Linked DNA regions of Elephas maximus indicus. Each later gene encodes a partner of the first gene's protein in a complex. Links are inferred from orthologs where the notes say so. Each region holds a gene or a part of one and is shown in the gene's direction. Other genes may lie near its edges.

Region 1 (7,185 bases):
GAGTCCTCCAGAGCTCCTCAGGGGAGAGTGTTCCCTCGAGGGCCCCCAGGGCCACCGGTGGCCCACGGAGCAGGTAAGGCAGCCCCGGTGCGGTGCGGCCGTAGGGGCCGCCGGTTGCCCAGCGCTCGCCTCTTCCCTCCACTCTTGCCCCCTCCCCCAAGCGGGCTGGGAGGTCCTGCCTGCCCCCATTCTCAGACCCCAGGTGGAGGAGGAGGGAAAGGCGGGGCCCTCTTGGCGCCCCTCGTCTTCTCCATCCCTACCTTTGGTCTCTCTTCCCCTCAACCCAGCACTCCAGCCCCACCCCAGAGTCAATTTTTGCCCCCTCCCATCTGAGCAGTGTTACCAGGCCGGAGGGGGACCAGAGGATCGGGGGCCAGCCTGGGGGGGGTCCCATGGAGCACCCCAGCGCCCGCAGGTGAATACTGGAAGTGGGGGGCATGAGTCGAGTGTGAATGGGACCCGGGGAGGCAGAGGAGACGTTGTGATTTGCATCTCCCTGCTTTTGCTCCATCTCCAGGGGCTCCCCCTAGATAGAGGGAGCTTGGGCCCAGGAAGTCTGGATGCTGAGATAGATTCGCTGACCAGCATGCTGGCTGAGCTGGATGGGGGTCGTGGTCACGTGCCAAGGCGACCAGACCGACAGGTGACTCCTCCCCTTCCCTAACCCTGCTTACTGTCCCCTGCTTCCCACACCTCCAGCCTGCTCCCTTCCCTGGATTGATTCTCAGTCTGAATTCCACCCACCTCCGTCCTACTCCTGTGTGAGAGATGTACGCCCAGCATGAAGAAGCCTGGGCCAGAGAGCTTACTAGGTAGTCAGCCACCTGAGGGCAGTGTCTCCTCAAAAGTTGCCCATCTTGGGGCCACACGTGGGGTTTCCACAGATGTGTGACCTGGAATGGGCCTTCCTTACTCTTTGTGGTCTCTTTCTCCCCAGGCTTATGAGCCCCTTCAGCCCCCTGCCTACCGCACGGGCTCCCTGAAGCCGAACGGAGGGGGTGTTCCATCCCTGCAGCTCCCAGCATCCCCCTATGGAGGTCCCACTCCGGCCTCCTATGCTACTGCCAGCACCCCTGCTGGCCCTGCCTTCCCTGTGCAGGTGAAGGTGGCACAACCAGTGAGAGGCTGTGGCCCACCCAGGCGGGGGGCCTCTCAGGCTTCTAGGCCCCTCCTGGGGCCCCACTTTCCTCTTCCCAGCCGAGGTGAAGTCTGGGGGGCTGGCTATAGGAGCCACCGGGAGCCAGGGCCAGGGGGTAAAGAGGAGGCTGCCAGGGTCCCTGGCCCTGCAGGAGGAGGAAGAGGAGGCAGGTACGGGTCCCAGGTAGGTCCACGGCACTGGGATTTTATAGACAACTGGATATTGAGTGGGTGGGGTGAGGATGGTGTTTAATGTCCTGGTTTTAGAGCAGAGTCACAGGTCGGGGATGTCAGAGCTCTGGATTCCCAAAGGGTGTGGGGGAGGCCAGAGAGGGGGTAGAGCACTGGTGTCTCCTCGAGGCTCTCCCCTGGGTCCTGGGCTGAGCTGCTCTCAAATGGGCTTTCTGGGTTGAATCGCATGTCATGTCACACACAGGGATTTTTATAGTGCCAGAAGTCCAGAGGTAAGACCAAACCCCTGATTCCCACCTCCCAGGTCCCCCTGAGCCAGCCTCCAGAGGAGGAGCTTGAGAGGCTGACCAAGAAGCTGGTGCATGACATGAATCACCCACCCAGCGGGGAGTACTTTGGTGAGCTGCCTCTGCAGTGTGGGAGCATGGGGAGGTGATACTGGAGAGGCAGAGGATGTGGGGGTCTGGCTTCTGGGTCTGTGTAGATTGACCTTTTCCCCACTATCCCTAGGCCGGTGTGGGGGTTGCGGAGAAGATGTGGTGGGGGATGGGGCCGGAGTGGTCGCCCTTGACCGAGTCTTCCATGTTGGCTGCTTTGTCTGTTCTACGTGCCGGGCCCAGCTTCAGGGCCAGCATTTCTATGCTGTGGAGAGGAGGGCGTACTGTGAGAGCTGCTATGTGGTAAGTGGTTCGGGCTGGGTGGCTGGAGTCAGCAGCTGGAGATAGGTGGGAGCCAGATGGCCAGCCCCAAAAAGGAAAAGGACTCAAAGTTGGAGAACTAGAACCTGTTGGAGGGGGAAGACAATGGTTCCTTACAAGTGTGAAGCATTTTAGAGTTAAGGGAATAAATTAAATCCCCACATTAGCCCTGTGAGGCAGGTATTATCGTTGATGACATTTTTACTGGAGACTGTAGCTTAGAGGGGTTAAATGACTTGTCCAGTAAGTTGTAGTGCTGGGACTTGAACTCATCCTCTCAGGTCCACCTTTCACTGAATCACATGCAGGAGGCTAGGTAAATAGATGGGTAGGCTGGCAGGATGCCTGAAGGGCTACCATGGGGTCCCCTGACCTTCCTGCTCCCCTTCCCAACAGGCCACCCTGGAGAAGTGCTCCATGTGCTCCCAGCCCATCCTGGACCGGATCCTTCGGGCTATGGGGAAGGCCTACCACCCTGGCTGTTTCACCTGTGTGGTGTGTCACCGTGGCCTCGATGGCATCCCCTTCACGGTGGATGCCACCAGCCAGATCCACTGCATTGAGGACTTCCACAGGTCAGCATGATAACCCTTTCCATCTCCCTCACCTCTGTTTCATGCCCCAGTATCGATTACTCCTGTTTCCAACCCTGGACCTGCCTCCTTCTCTTTGGTATACCTCTCTTCCCCAGTATCCAAGACCATACCTCTGGTCTCTCCTGTTTCCTCCGGCATCCCACCTTCTTGGGGCTCCATCATTAGTCCCCTCAACTCCGGTCTTGATAGCCTCATTAGTTCCCTTTCACCCTAGGAAGTTTGCTCCACGATGCTCAGTATGTGGCGGGGCCATCATGCCTGAGCCAGGGCAGGAGGAGACTGTGCGAATTGTTGCTCTGGATCGAAGTTTTCATATTGGCTGTTACAAGTGTGAGGTCAGGGGGCCTGGGCAAGAGGAACAGGTCTGGGGTGCTGGGTATGGTTAAGCCTGAGGGAGAAAGAACCCAGGGGTTAAAAGCTGATGGAAAGCTCTTGCTTCTTTCCCAACAGGAGTGTGGGTTGCTGCTCTCCTCTGAGGGTGAGTGTCAAGGCTGCTACCCACTGGACGGACACATCTTGTGCAAGTCCTGCAGCGCCTGGCGCATCCAGGAGCTCTCAGCGACTGTCACCACTGACTGCTGAGTCTTCCCAGAAGCATCTGCTGCATTCTCTGCTCCTGTCGACCACCCTCCCTGATGTTTACCTTTACAATTGTCACCAAATGCTGTCTCTTCTTCCTCTAATTATGAAATAATAATTCTGCAAGAGTTTACAAAACACTTTCAAGTTTATTTTTTTCATCTGATTCTCATAGCAGCCTCAGATACAATCCTGATTTGTTGTTTCTTTGTGAGAATTCTAGAGCTGAGAAGTGAGGTTCCCAGATGGCATGCTTCCCAAATGGCAAAACCAAAATTCGAACCTGATCTTAGTCCCGGTCCAGTTTTTTTGCAATTCTACTGTTCTTTTTAGTGTAAAGATACTCCTCCTCTCAGTGCTGGGAGCAAGGCTGCAGTATGCTCTAGAGAAGCAATGTTCCCTATTAAGCCTTAATACTCAAATAATTGAAAAAGGACTTGGAGTTATCCATTTTGGGTGGTGGTGCATTTAATCTGGGGGCAGGCAAGATGCTGCCTATTGGTCAGGCCTCTACACAACCATGATCATGAAACTATTGGTTTGAGATAACGCTCAGATCTGCCAATTTTGTTTAAAAGTGGGCACTTTTGTCGAAGTGCAGGAACAATGGGTTTTGCAGGTAGCACGTACGGTCTGTGTGGGAGCACGAAATGGTGGGAGGAGAGACTTTAAAATGGTTGCTCTCTTCCCCTAAGGCCAACACTCCCCAAGCCCATGCCCTTGCCCTGCCCAAAGGGCGAAGCCACTCTCGATGAGGTCAGAAGGAACCCCAAATAAAAAGATCAGGTCGGAGGGCAACGGCTGGATGCGAACTGTCTTAGACCCCGGACACACGTGAGAGAACACTCTCTCACGCCCAAAAGGCGCTACCACGGCGGCTAAGCTTGGCTCTGCCCGACTCCCGTAGTTTTTCTCGCTCTGGCAGTTCTCGTGCAGGAAGACACGCGAGACCTCCTGGCCCCGCCTCCTCCCATCATCCTTCTGTTCTCCCCGCCTTAGCCCTGATCGTCCGCTGTAGTTCCAGTTCGGCGCGAAAGGAGTAGTTAGCGCCGTTCGGCAAGTGGCGCAAGCGCGGTGTGAACGGCGCGCGCCGACTGCCCATCTTCTGCCGCCCTGCTTTCTTCTAGTCTCTCCGACTCCTTCCGCTGAGATCCTCGCGTCTCGGTCTCACCGCGCGCGTTGTTCTCGTCGCGTGCCAGAAGCGAAGACGCGGGCCCGGGCCGCCCGGAGAAGAAGCCCGCCGGAGCGCTAGGCCAACGGCCGCGACCGATCCCAGGTGGGGGGAGGGGCGGATGCCAGGGCCTGCGGCCCGCGCTGCTGCGAGACTCAGGGACCCGGGCCCAAGGGCCGGCGGGGAGCCGTTGGAGGCGGCTGTCGGGCCTGGGCCGCCATGGGTGGGGCGGGGAGACCCGTGGGGCGAGCGGAAGTATCGGAGCCTTTCATTTCATCCACTTGCCAGGGAAAAAGAGATTAGGATGGCGGGAGCAGCGGAAGGCAGGCCCTTGCGGGAGGGAGGCGAGCCTTTCCTCTTCTCGTCATTGTTCATCAACATCTTGACTACTCCTCCCTGGGCCTCAGGCCCCCTCAGACCGTGCTATGGGTGACAGTGATGACGAGTATGATCGAAGGCGCAGGGACAAGTTTAGAAGAGAGCGCAGCGACTATGACCGTTCTCGGGAAAGAGATGAAAGACGTCGAGGGGACGACTGGAATGACCGGTGAGACATTTAAGCTTTTTCTCTGTTTTGTTTTCCAGTCTCATTCTGTTTACAATCCCCTGTTATTAACTTTTCTCCTATGACTTTATTAGGCTGAACCTTAATTAAACTTATGATACTTGACGGTCTTGGTGTACAGAAACGGCAATTTCATACGGTTCATCGTGTTTGTTGTTAGCCAGAAAAGCATGTGTCTTTTTTTAAACTTTGGAAGCATTTTGTAAATGAAAAGAAATTAGCTTTTCTATCAGCATCCTTGTCAGTGTCATTCTGAATTGCTCCCAAGAGTACCTTCTCTTCCGTAAACACTTTATACTGTTTGAATTGATTTTTTATATGCTTGATTTTTGAACTATCCTGAAAATCTGAGTTTAAGTATAAAGAAGTAATATTTATATGTGCACTTAAAATCTGTGTATTTTATCGTTTGTAAATTATACCTCCAAAACGTTAATGCAGAAGCAATGTTATTATAGGATTGATTTCACTGCGGAGATTGTAAGACCGCTTAGTTCCCTGGCAGGATATGATAAAATTTCTTGTAATTGTTTTGCCTAAAATTTCAAAAAGAGTTCTTTGGACAGTGCTAATTGAGTTAATTGGTTAGGTTTGAATATGCTAGTGATTAGGTTGCTGGGATGTTTTTGAGTTAATTATAGTTAGGGTATTTACCTTAAACTTCTGATAGGGTTTTAAATAATCAAGGTTTATTGTTTTTTGGAAATACAGGTGGTTTTTTTTTTTTTTTTAATCTAAGCGGCTGACATCAGTGAGCTGATGGCAGGCCCCATTTGGAAACAGACTGTTACAAAGAGTTCGCGGTGACTTATTGTGATAACTTTTATTCATCAGTATCATTTGGGAAAAAGAGTTCAGTTAATCATTCAACTCGCCACCCACCGTATCTCTTAGCTGTGGAGATCCTACCTGGCCACCCTGTTTTCCTGGGTATTTTCTAAGAATGTTGGAAGAGAAAGGAGTTCTGAAGATGGATAAGATGTAGTCATTGCCTTTAAGGAGTGTTTGGAGTGGCCTTGGGGCTATACTGCAAATGAGCATATATAAAAGAAGATCATAAAAAGCACTGAGGGAAAATCCTTCTAAAGGAGGGTATCAGGGTGGTCTGTCCTGGTTACGGGAGAGGTGGCACTTAGCCAGACATGGAAGAATATGGGGGAATTCCCCAAACACAGATGGAGGGAGTATGTTGGAGTTGTGGATGTACATTGTGTGCAGAAAACAGTACAAATTCTGGCTTGGTTTAAGTAGTGATTCTCAAAATGGCGGTCCACAGGCCCTTGGTCCCCGAGACCCTTTCAGATGTCTGTGAGGTTAAAACTATAGAAATACTAAGGTATTACTGAAACTTTAACTATAGTGACATTTGCACTGATGGTGCTATAGCAATGGTGGATAAAACTCCTGGCACCTTAGCACAAATTAAGGCAGTGGTGCCAAACTGTGTCAGTAGTCATTATTGTATTCTTCACTGCCAGTTTCATTGAAGACTGGTCCTGATGAAGCAGTCACAGTGATTAATTTTATTAGACTCTCGATACGTGTCTGAGATAGCTGGTAATGTTTGTTATTTTTATATTGTTCAATGAAATGTGTCAAAAGTCGTTGAAAGAGCAAGGTAGAAGAGTGGATTTTAACGTAGCAGAGTATAACGTAGCCGACGAGTTCACTGATAAGATTTCAGAGGCCACATTGCAACTAACCTTAAAACTACCCTTGTTTTAAGAAGTATCAAAGAACGCTATCCGTAATTACCTGAAAAGCCTACCATAGTACTCCCTTTTCAAATTACATATCAGTGTGAGGCTGAATTTTCTGCATATACATCGACCAAAACAACATGGCACAATAGATTTGAATGTGGAAGCAAATAATAGAATCCTGTCTTCTGTTAAACTAGACCTTAAAGAGATTTGTAAAATATGAAACAATGCCATTTTCTCACTAAAATGTTTTGGATAATAGTAATTTTTACACAAACATGTAGTTTATATTAAATGTAATTTAAAAGTGAATAAACCAAACAAAGCCCAAACCTATGGCCGTCGAGTTGAGTCTGACTCGTAGTAACGCTAGAGAACAGAGTAGAACTATCCCATGGTGTTTACAAGGTCGAAATCTTTATGGATGCAGACTGCCACATCTTTCTCCTTCAGAGTAGCTGGTGGGTTTGAACCACTGACCTTTTGGTTAGCAGCTGTGTGCTTAACCACTGTGCTACTAGGGCTTCTTCTATAAGTGAATAAA
Region 2 (6,918 bases), on another chromosome or scaffold:
AGCTTGAAAAAGCATGCTGGGAGACTGCCACCACTGGAGGTGGCGGAGAGAAGTCTGTTTCTTCAGTCATAGAGGAACTGCTACAATGGCAGGCCACTGCGGGGAGGGATGGCCCAAATCACCTTGGGCTGGAGCAGAAAGAAAGACCATATTTTCTGTGTGCTCTCAGATCCCTTCTACAAAAACAGAGAAAACATAGTCCTTGTACACTTCCTCCAGGGAAAATAAGGAACTGCCTCCTTCTCTTGCTTCCTTCCCTTCCAAGTGGCCAATTCGTCTGGAAGCTTCACTGCTTCCTGCACTGCTTCCCGCACTGGTCCCACCACTAAAAGACTCAACAGTGAGTGTGCTTGTTTATGCTGGGGGTGGGGCTGGGCTGGAGACTGCTAATACTCATCCAGAGACCAAAGAGGTCCTCAGACTCCAAGGAGAACCCCACATGCCCTGGAGAGGGGGGATCTGACAGCCCCTCAGACAGAAGGATGGGATGCCAGACCAGGACTTTGGTCATTAGCAGTGGGGAACCTCTGGCCTTGGAGAGTATTTAACTGCAGCATCTCTAATGGGAGACTGGAGGGTGAGATGCCACCTCATGCCAACTCACAAGAATAACTGACCATTAGAACAAGCTAGTTTCTCCATTCTCAGGAGAAATAACTGTATTTATAGCCTGAAAGTATGTTCCTTTTAAACATGGATGGGGCAGGACCTTGAATACCTCCTTTGACCTTCTCAGGTCAAAGGAAATAGGGCTAATTTTGGCAATCTCCCCTCCACACTTGAGTGTTAAGTTCCTCCATCACCCTTACCTTTCAAATAGCCAGCGCTCTTAATAGCTATCCCTCTGCTTTCACTGACAGTCCCACTTTCAGTGGTTTATTTCTACTCTTTTTCAGGTATACTTTCAATCTATTTCTTACCTTCACAGTGAAATGTTTCCCAGTTTAGTTAACGCTCTTTGGATTATAAGTAATAGAACTAACCTGGGGGAGAAAAGCTTTTAGTGTAAGGATACTGTTTATCTCCCAGAATCTGGAGTTGTTTGATACTTGAAAAGGGCAGAACGAGGGTCCCTTGGCAGCAGACTTTTTGAGACTTTCTCTTTGGGTCATAGCCACTAACATGGTTCCCAGCAATTCTGTCTTGGGGCCAAATTTCTAGGCATTTGCATCCTATTGGTCCACCCTGAACCATCTCCTATGGCCAGGGAACAAAAACAAGGCTGTAGAAAATACACCCCATGGGCAGGCCAGGTAGTGCTCAGAGAAAAAAAGGACAGACAACTAGCCCAGTAGGTACAGGCAGCATTATTTCAGGGGTATCTTTTTGTACCTTGGAAAGCAATCGCACTGGGTCCACTTGCAGAGCTGGCCTGATGCAGGTTTGGGAGGGGATCTGTGGGAGAAGGTTCCATTGTCGGTTTCAGAGGTAGCAGTCCATGCCTCATCCCTTACTAATGGAGATAAGAAAGGTGGCCAGAAGGGTCCTTTTCTTAGGAAAAGTTTCCAGACTGACACTGATGCAGAAGAACTATAAAAATGAAAAGTAAACAGGGCTGCCTGCACAAAAACAATACTAATATAAAACATGGCTAGGACATGAACCAGAGACCTACATCATCCTGAGACCAGAAGAACTAGTTGGTGCCCGGCCACAATCGATGACTGCCCTGACAGGGAGCACAGCAGAGGACCCCTGAGGGAGCAGGAGATCAGTGGGATGCAGACCCCAAATCCTCATAAAAAGACCATACTTAATGGTCTGACTGAGACTAGAGGAATCCCGGCGGTCATGGTCCCCAAACCTTCTGTTGGCCCAGGACAGGAACCATTCCCGAAAACAACTCATCAGACATGGAAGGGTCTGGACAGTGGGTAGGAGAGAGATGCTGATGAAGAGTGAGCTATTTGTATCAGGTGGACACTTGAGACTGTGTTGGCATCTCCTGTCTGGAGGGAGAATGGGAGGATAGAGAGAGTTGGAAGCTGGCAAAATTGTCATGAGAAACTGGAAGGGCTGACTCAGTAGGGGGAGAGCAAGTGGGAGTACAGAGTAAGGTGTATATAAACTTATATGTGACAGTTTGACCTGATTTGTAAACGTTCACCTGAAGCTCAATAAAAGTTAAAAAAAAAAAAAACATGGCTAGGAAGCCTTTATGCCCCCATACTGTGTAACACCGTTTTTCAAAGAAGAACAGGGCCAGAGCTGAGGTAGGAAAATGGTAGCCCATAGCCATTTTGTTAGGCCTGAAGTAATAAAGGAGCCAGATTTCTCCTAGGAAACAAATAGGAGGTCCAGCACCACCAGGCCACAGTCCCACAGCGCAAAACTAGCTGACAGAGTAGCTGCTACCCCTCCAGATGGGTCAGGGGCTTTCCAGCTTCTCAGAGTCCCCTAAACATTCATTGCTTCACCCCTGCAAGCATGAGTTTGAACCCCCCAGGGTAGGTGTCTAGGACCTTTGCAGCTCACTCTCCCTGCCCGTCAGAAAAGCCAGGGTATAAATTGTCTGTCACCAGCTTAAAAGCCTTTCCTGTGGCTTCAAGCTTTCTAGATTGCATGATTAACTGTGTAGGCTCATTACAATCAAAATCAACCAGGTACCTCAGATGACAGGGCATTTCTGTACAGAACAGATTTCCTAATCACGGGTTCATTAGCTGGACCATAATCTTTCTTAGTCTGTATCCCAGATACTCTAAAATGGGAACTAGGAACACAGGTAGTTTGTTCCCCGGTGGGCCATTATCCCAATGTCTGGTAGTGGTGGGTGGGTGGGAACATACGAGGTCAGGGTAAATGCTGCGTACGTGGTAATTAAGGACAGAGGCCCTGGGGTCAATTGCCAGTGTTTACGTCCCCCCTCTGTAAGGCCTTGGGCAACTTAAGTAATCACTTCCTTTTAAGAAAGTGATCGTAGGTAGTAAAGGAGGTATCTCACCCAGTGTGCAATTAGCAAGTGCCAAAACAGAGAAAGCACTCGGTATGTTAGCTATTATTACTATGAGCCTATACCCCCAGGATTCCTAATCCATCTTACCTGAGAAGCACCACACTCAGACTCATTAATCAGCTCACACATTTAATCAGAGAATTTGGCACCTGCAGGGCTGTCTTTTCATCGATGATCTTCCCCGCAAGTAGTGTTCTATCAGGGCAGAGACAACAGCATCCATCAAGAGTTCTGGTCCCGATTGCAGAGGACAAGCTCCCTTTCCGGCTGTGGTTCTGTCCACGGGTCTTTATCTCTGTCGGGCTCCAGAGTCTTTCTCCAGACTGTGCCTGAACGATCACTCGATTGCATAGCTTCAGAGAGATTGTCGGTTTGGTCTGGGTTCTCTAATGCGTATGACCTCTGTAGGCCGAGAATCGGAGTCAGGACTCGGAGCCGCGCTCAGTGCCCGCAATGACCCCGCAGCGCCGAGACCGATGTACAGCCCAGACCGAGGGCGGACGACCTCGGCCCAGCCCAGCCCGGTCTTAAGGGTCTGCGCCCGGGCCCTTCCGGCTACCTGGTGGTGACCCCGGGCGGTCCCGGAGGCCGCGGCGCAGTTCTTGTTTGAAGGCGTCTCTGAAGCGGGCAGCGCGCCGGGCCGCCTCCTTACCGCGCAGCTGGGCCTGCAACAGCGCGAAGGCCGTGAGCTGTGCCGCACGCCGGATGGGCCACGACTCCGAGAGACGCTCCACCAGCTGCGAGCTGTGCAGCAGAGCTGCAAGCAGCCGCCGAAACACCATCCTCTCCGCAGCTCCCCGGAACCCGGGGCACGTGGCTCTAGCCTTCCGGTCGGCGGCGCCCCACATCGGACCGGGTCTGCGCCCGCGCCGTCTGATGACGACACTGCCGCGCTCGGATTGGGCCCAAGCATTCCCGCTCTCTCTGCTTCCGGCGGCCGCCTCCGCGCGTTTCCGGTTCCGCCGCCGGTGTCGCCGCCGCCGTTTCATTGTTCTCGGAGTTGCGGCGTCGCCGTCCACCTCTTTGCGCTATGTCCGGTGGCCTCCTGAAGGCGCTGCGCAGTGACTCCTACGTAGAGCTGAGCCAGTACCGGGATCAGCACTTCCGGGTGAGGGAGACCGGGCCGCCCAAGGGCCGAACGCTGAGAAACGGTTTGCTCTAATCTCATTGTGTCGTCTCTCATCCTGCTCGTGTCGCGAGAAGCGAAGTGAGGCCGCAGTGCTGCCCGGGGAAGCAGGGAATGGGTACTGGGCGGGTGTTTGTATTTCACTGAAGCCAGTTCCTGTCTAAAAAGGGAGTTTGGGGCTCGCTTTCTCATTCCCTTGCAGCCCTCCGTGTACCCGGGCCAGTGCAGGAGTGTTCAGGCAGTAGTAGTGGTGACGGCGGCAGTAGTAGTAGTAGTAGTGGTAGTAGCAGCAGCCGGCAGGGGTGGTTCTCATTTTCAGGGCCTGTGCCTCGGGGAGGTGGTTTTGAGATGAGGGGCAGGGCTGTCCGTTTGCCTCCGGAGTATGTGGAGGCGCGCCTTCCTTACCCGGCTACCAGGGCTTGCTTTTCAAAATGCGATGAGAGAAACAATAGCCTTTGGCGCTTTGACCCCTTTTCTTTGCCTGTAGGAAGGTTCTACCATGTTCTGCGCTTTGGATGGGAGTTGAGCCCTGCCCGAACCCTAGGGATGGGGAGGTGGACCAGCCAAGCTGGGCACTTAGAGGATGTCTGGGTGTCAAGATCAGAGAACTGCTGAATTTTAAAAGAGGAAATTTTTAGTTTAGGCTATGTCAGGAGATTTGTGAAAGAGAAGAAGGCTGCAGAATTTAGCTGCATTCTCATTGTGGGCTTTTCGGTATTAGGAATGGCAGGTATGGGGTGCCGGGAATAATTAGGAGACGGTTTCATTAATCCAGTTATTTAGGTTTTCATTGGGTTTATTGGGTGCTGTTAGGAAACCTGCTAAGCCATAGAGAGAGAGGGGAAGTCAGTTTCTGCACTCTAAACTTTAATGAGCCTCTAGTAGGGATTGTAAATGGAAGCAAGTCATCGTAATTCAGAGCAGAAATGGTGAGCACAAACGCAGGGGTTGTGAGGATTCAGAAGAGGGATAACAATTTGTGACTGGGAAGAAAGGGGCAGAAAGGGATGAGAGAGCAGCATGGAGAATGTGTACAATGTGTTCGTAGGGCAGGGAAAAGGAACTTTTGTTTGAGGCTAAACCGACGAGGATCTTAAATTCATTCACTCAGCCAACAGTTTTTAAATTCTTACTGTGTGCGAGGGGAAACCCTGGTGGTGTAGTGGTTGAGTGCTACAGCTGCTAACCAAGAGGTTAGCAGCCGTAGTTCAAATCCGCAGTTCAAATCCGCCAGGCACTGCTTGGAAACTCTATGGGGCAGTTCTACTCTGTCCTCTAGGGTCGCTGTGAGTCGGAATCGACTTGACAGCAGTGGGTTTGGTTTTTGGTTTTATGTGCGAGGCATGATTTCACTTCTTCCACTTTTACAGTTCTTGTTACCTTAGAAAGTTCCACATCATAACCATCTTGAATTTAGACCATCCTGCAAGGTGCAGACTGAAAGGATTAGACTTTTGCTATTATTCATCTCTGCAATTTAAAGCTTAAAGTTCAGTACTGTCATGCAGAATTGCTAGTGTTCCCTGAAAGGAATCCACATTCATATCATACCTTAAGCAAGCACTTAGACCACAGTTGTCTTAAGCCACAGGCTGGCTGTTTGGACATCTCTTACGTGTATGAGAAAAGTGAAACTGCCTCCTGACCATAATTTTAACAAATCAGTAACAGCAGTAATAAAAAGTTAATCTACATTCCCTGATGTCTCATTCCAGAGCTTTGAGAACCTATCGTTAACAAAGAACGCCTGTTCCCTTGTGGATTTTCTAAAGCAGTGTGGGATTGAGGACTAGACTAGGCTTGAATTGCAGTTATAACTGCTGAGTAGCTCTGGGACTGGGACAGGTTACTGACTTTTTCCTCACGTGTAAAGTGAGGATAATAAGTTAGGACCTACCTCATACAGTTGTTTTAAGGATTAGGTGAGATGGCATACATTAAGTCTGACTTGCAGTCCCTTGATTCTCCCCACAGGTAGAAACAGTTATCAGTTCATGCTTTTAAAAAATACAATTTGGAGCATACGCTTCACACCGTCCTGCATTCCATCTGGGAGGTGTTCCCTGTCCCTGCATGGAGATGTACAGGTTTATTGGCACAGCATGGTTTTATATCAGTGTGCTGTAATTAATTTAATCAGTTTCCTTTGGATGGTTTCACTGTTTCTCTAATCTGCCACTGCTTGTGATCACACGAGACCTTTTACTTTGCACACTGTGCTGCAAAACACTCAGAGACGAATAATGCAAGGTCGTATTCTCAGAGTGAGGGAAACTGGACCACCATGACACATGCAGGGCTCCTGGGAAAGTGCTGTGGGGCTCAGTATGAGTTTACTCAGCTACCGCTTTCCAAGCTGGAATGCCACTGTTAGGTGTAAGAAGGGTCATCTTAAATCCAAACTCAGTATATGCTTCATGTTAGAGCCTTACCTGGGTCAGGAGGGCCTGAGAGCAGGTCAGCTGGTAGGCCTTCTATTAATCAAGCATCTGTCCTCCCCAGTGTGGAAGCTGGAAGAGAACGCCCACAGACGGCCACACTGGTTTCTGTGAAGTCCTCTAAGTTACCACATCTAGCCCACGATGAGCCATCTTGTTCCCAGGGGTTGTCAGGTGTTTCTGTGGAAACCCAGTTACACTTCTGTCTCTGGCTTTATCCTATCTTCCAAATTAGGAAGTCCATCAAGAATGTGAGATGGCTTTTGTTTTTAGTGATCACTACATGCTCTCCTAACTCAGAGAAAACCATATAAGCATGTAAACCATCTAAGCAATTGTTGTTTTTGAATGGTCTCTATGGGAGCATTTCAAGGAAACCCTAATCTTTGGAAACCCAT

The links. The genes of interacting proteins can lie anywhere in the genome.
Region 2: the proteins of SRRT (region 1) and NCBP2 are in contact, whole or in part, in a cryo-EM structure (PDB 8PMP), measured with the Homo sapiens proteins. The link is inferred for Elephas maximus indicus from reciprocal best matches to the Homo sapiens genes SRRT and NCBP2. Residues at the interface, in NP_056992.4 of Homo sapiens: Asp857, Arg859, Ala860, Ile861, Val862, Glu863, Tyr864, Arg865, Ala869, Asp874; in NP_031388.2 of Homo sapiens: Ser48, Phe49, Tyr50, Thr51, Thr52, Glu53, Gln55, Lys67, Met71, Leu73, Met76, Lys77, Lys78, Thr79, Ala80, Tyr89, Asp107, Glu121.

The regions. Positions count from the first base shown.
Region 1 is NC_064830.1:92,231,845-92,239,029, forward strand, and holds the start of SRRT (serrate RNA effector molecule homolog), read left to right. Parts: upstream 1-4,183; 5' UTR 4,184-4,478; intron 4,479-4,661; 5' UTR 4,662-4,798; coding exon 4,799-4,920; intron 4,921-7,185. Other genes in the region: TRIP6 (thyroid receptor-interacting protein 6), read left to right, coding at 1-73, 288-415, 518-643, 938-1,321, 1,634-1,727, 1,840-2,009, 2,424-2,602, 2,838-2,958 and 1 more. UniProt on the Homo sapiens protein: Acts as a mediator between the cap-binding complex (CBC) and the primary microRNAs (miRNAs) processing machinery during cell proliferation.
Region 2 is NC_064819.1:18,463,232-18,470,149, reverse strand, and holds the start of NCBP2 (nuclear cap-binding protein subunit 2), read left to right. Parts: upstream 1-3,902; 5' UTR 3,903-3,986; coding exon 3,987-4,064; intron 4,065-6,918. Other genes in the region: protein NCBP2AS2, read right to left, coding at 3,312-3,358, 3,516-3,804. UniProt on the Homo sapiens protein: Component of the cap-binding complex (CBC), which binds co-transcriptionally to the 5' cap of pre-mRNAs and is involved in various processes such as pre-mRNA splicing, translation regulation, nonsense-mediated mRNA decay, RNA-mediated gene silencing (RNAi) by microRNAs (miRNAs) and mRNA export.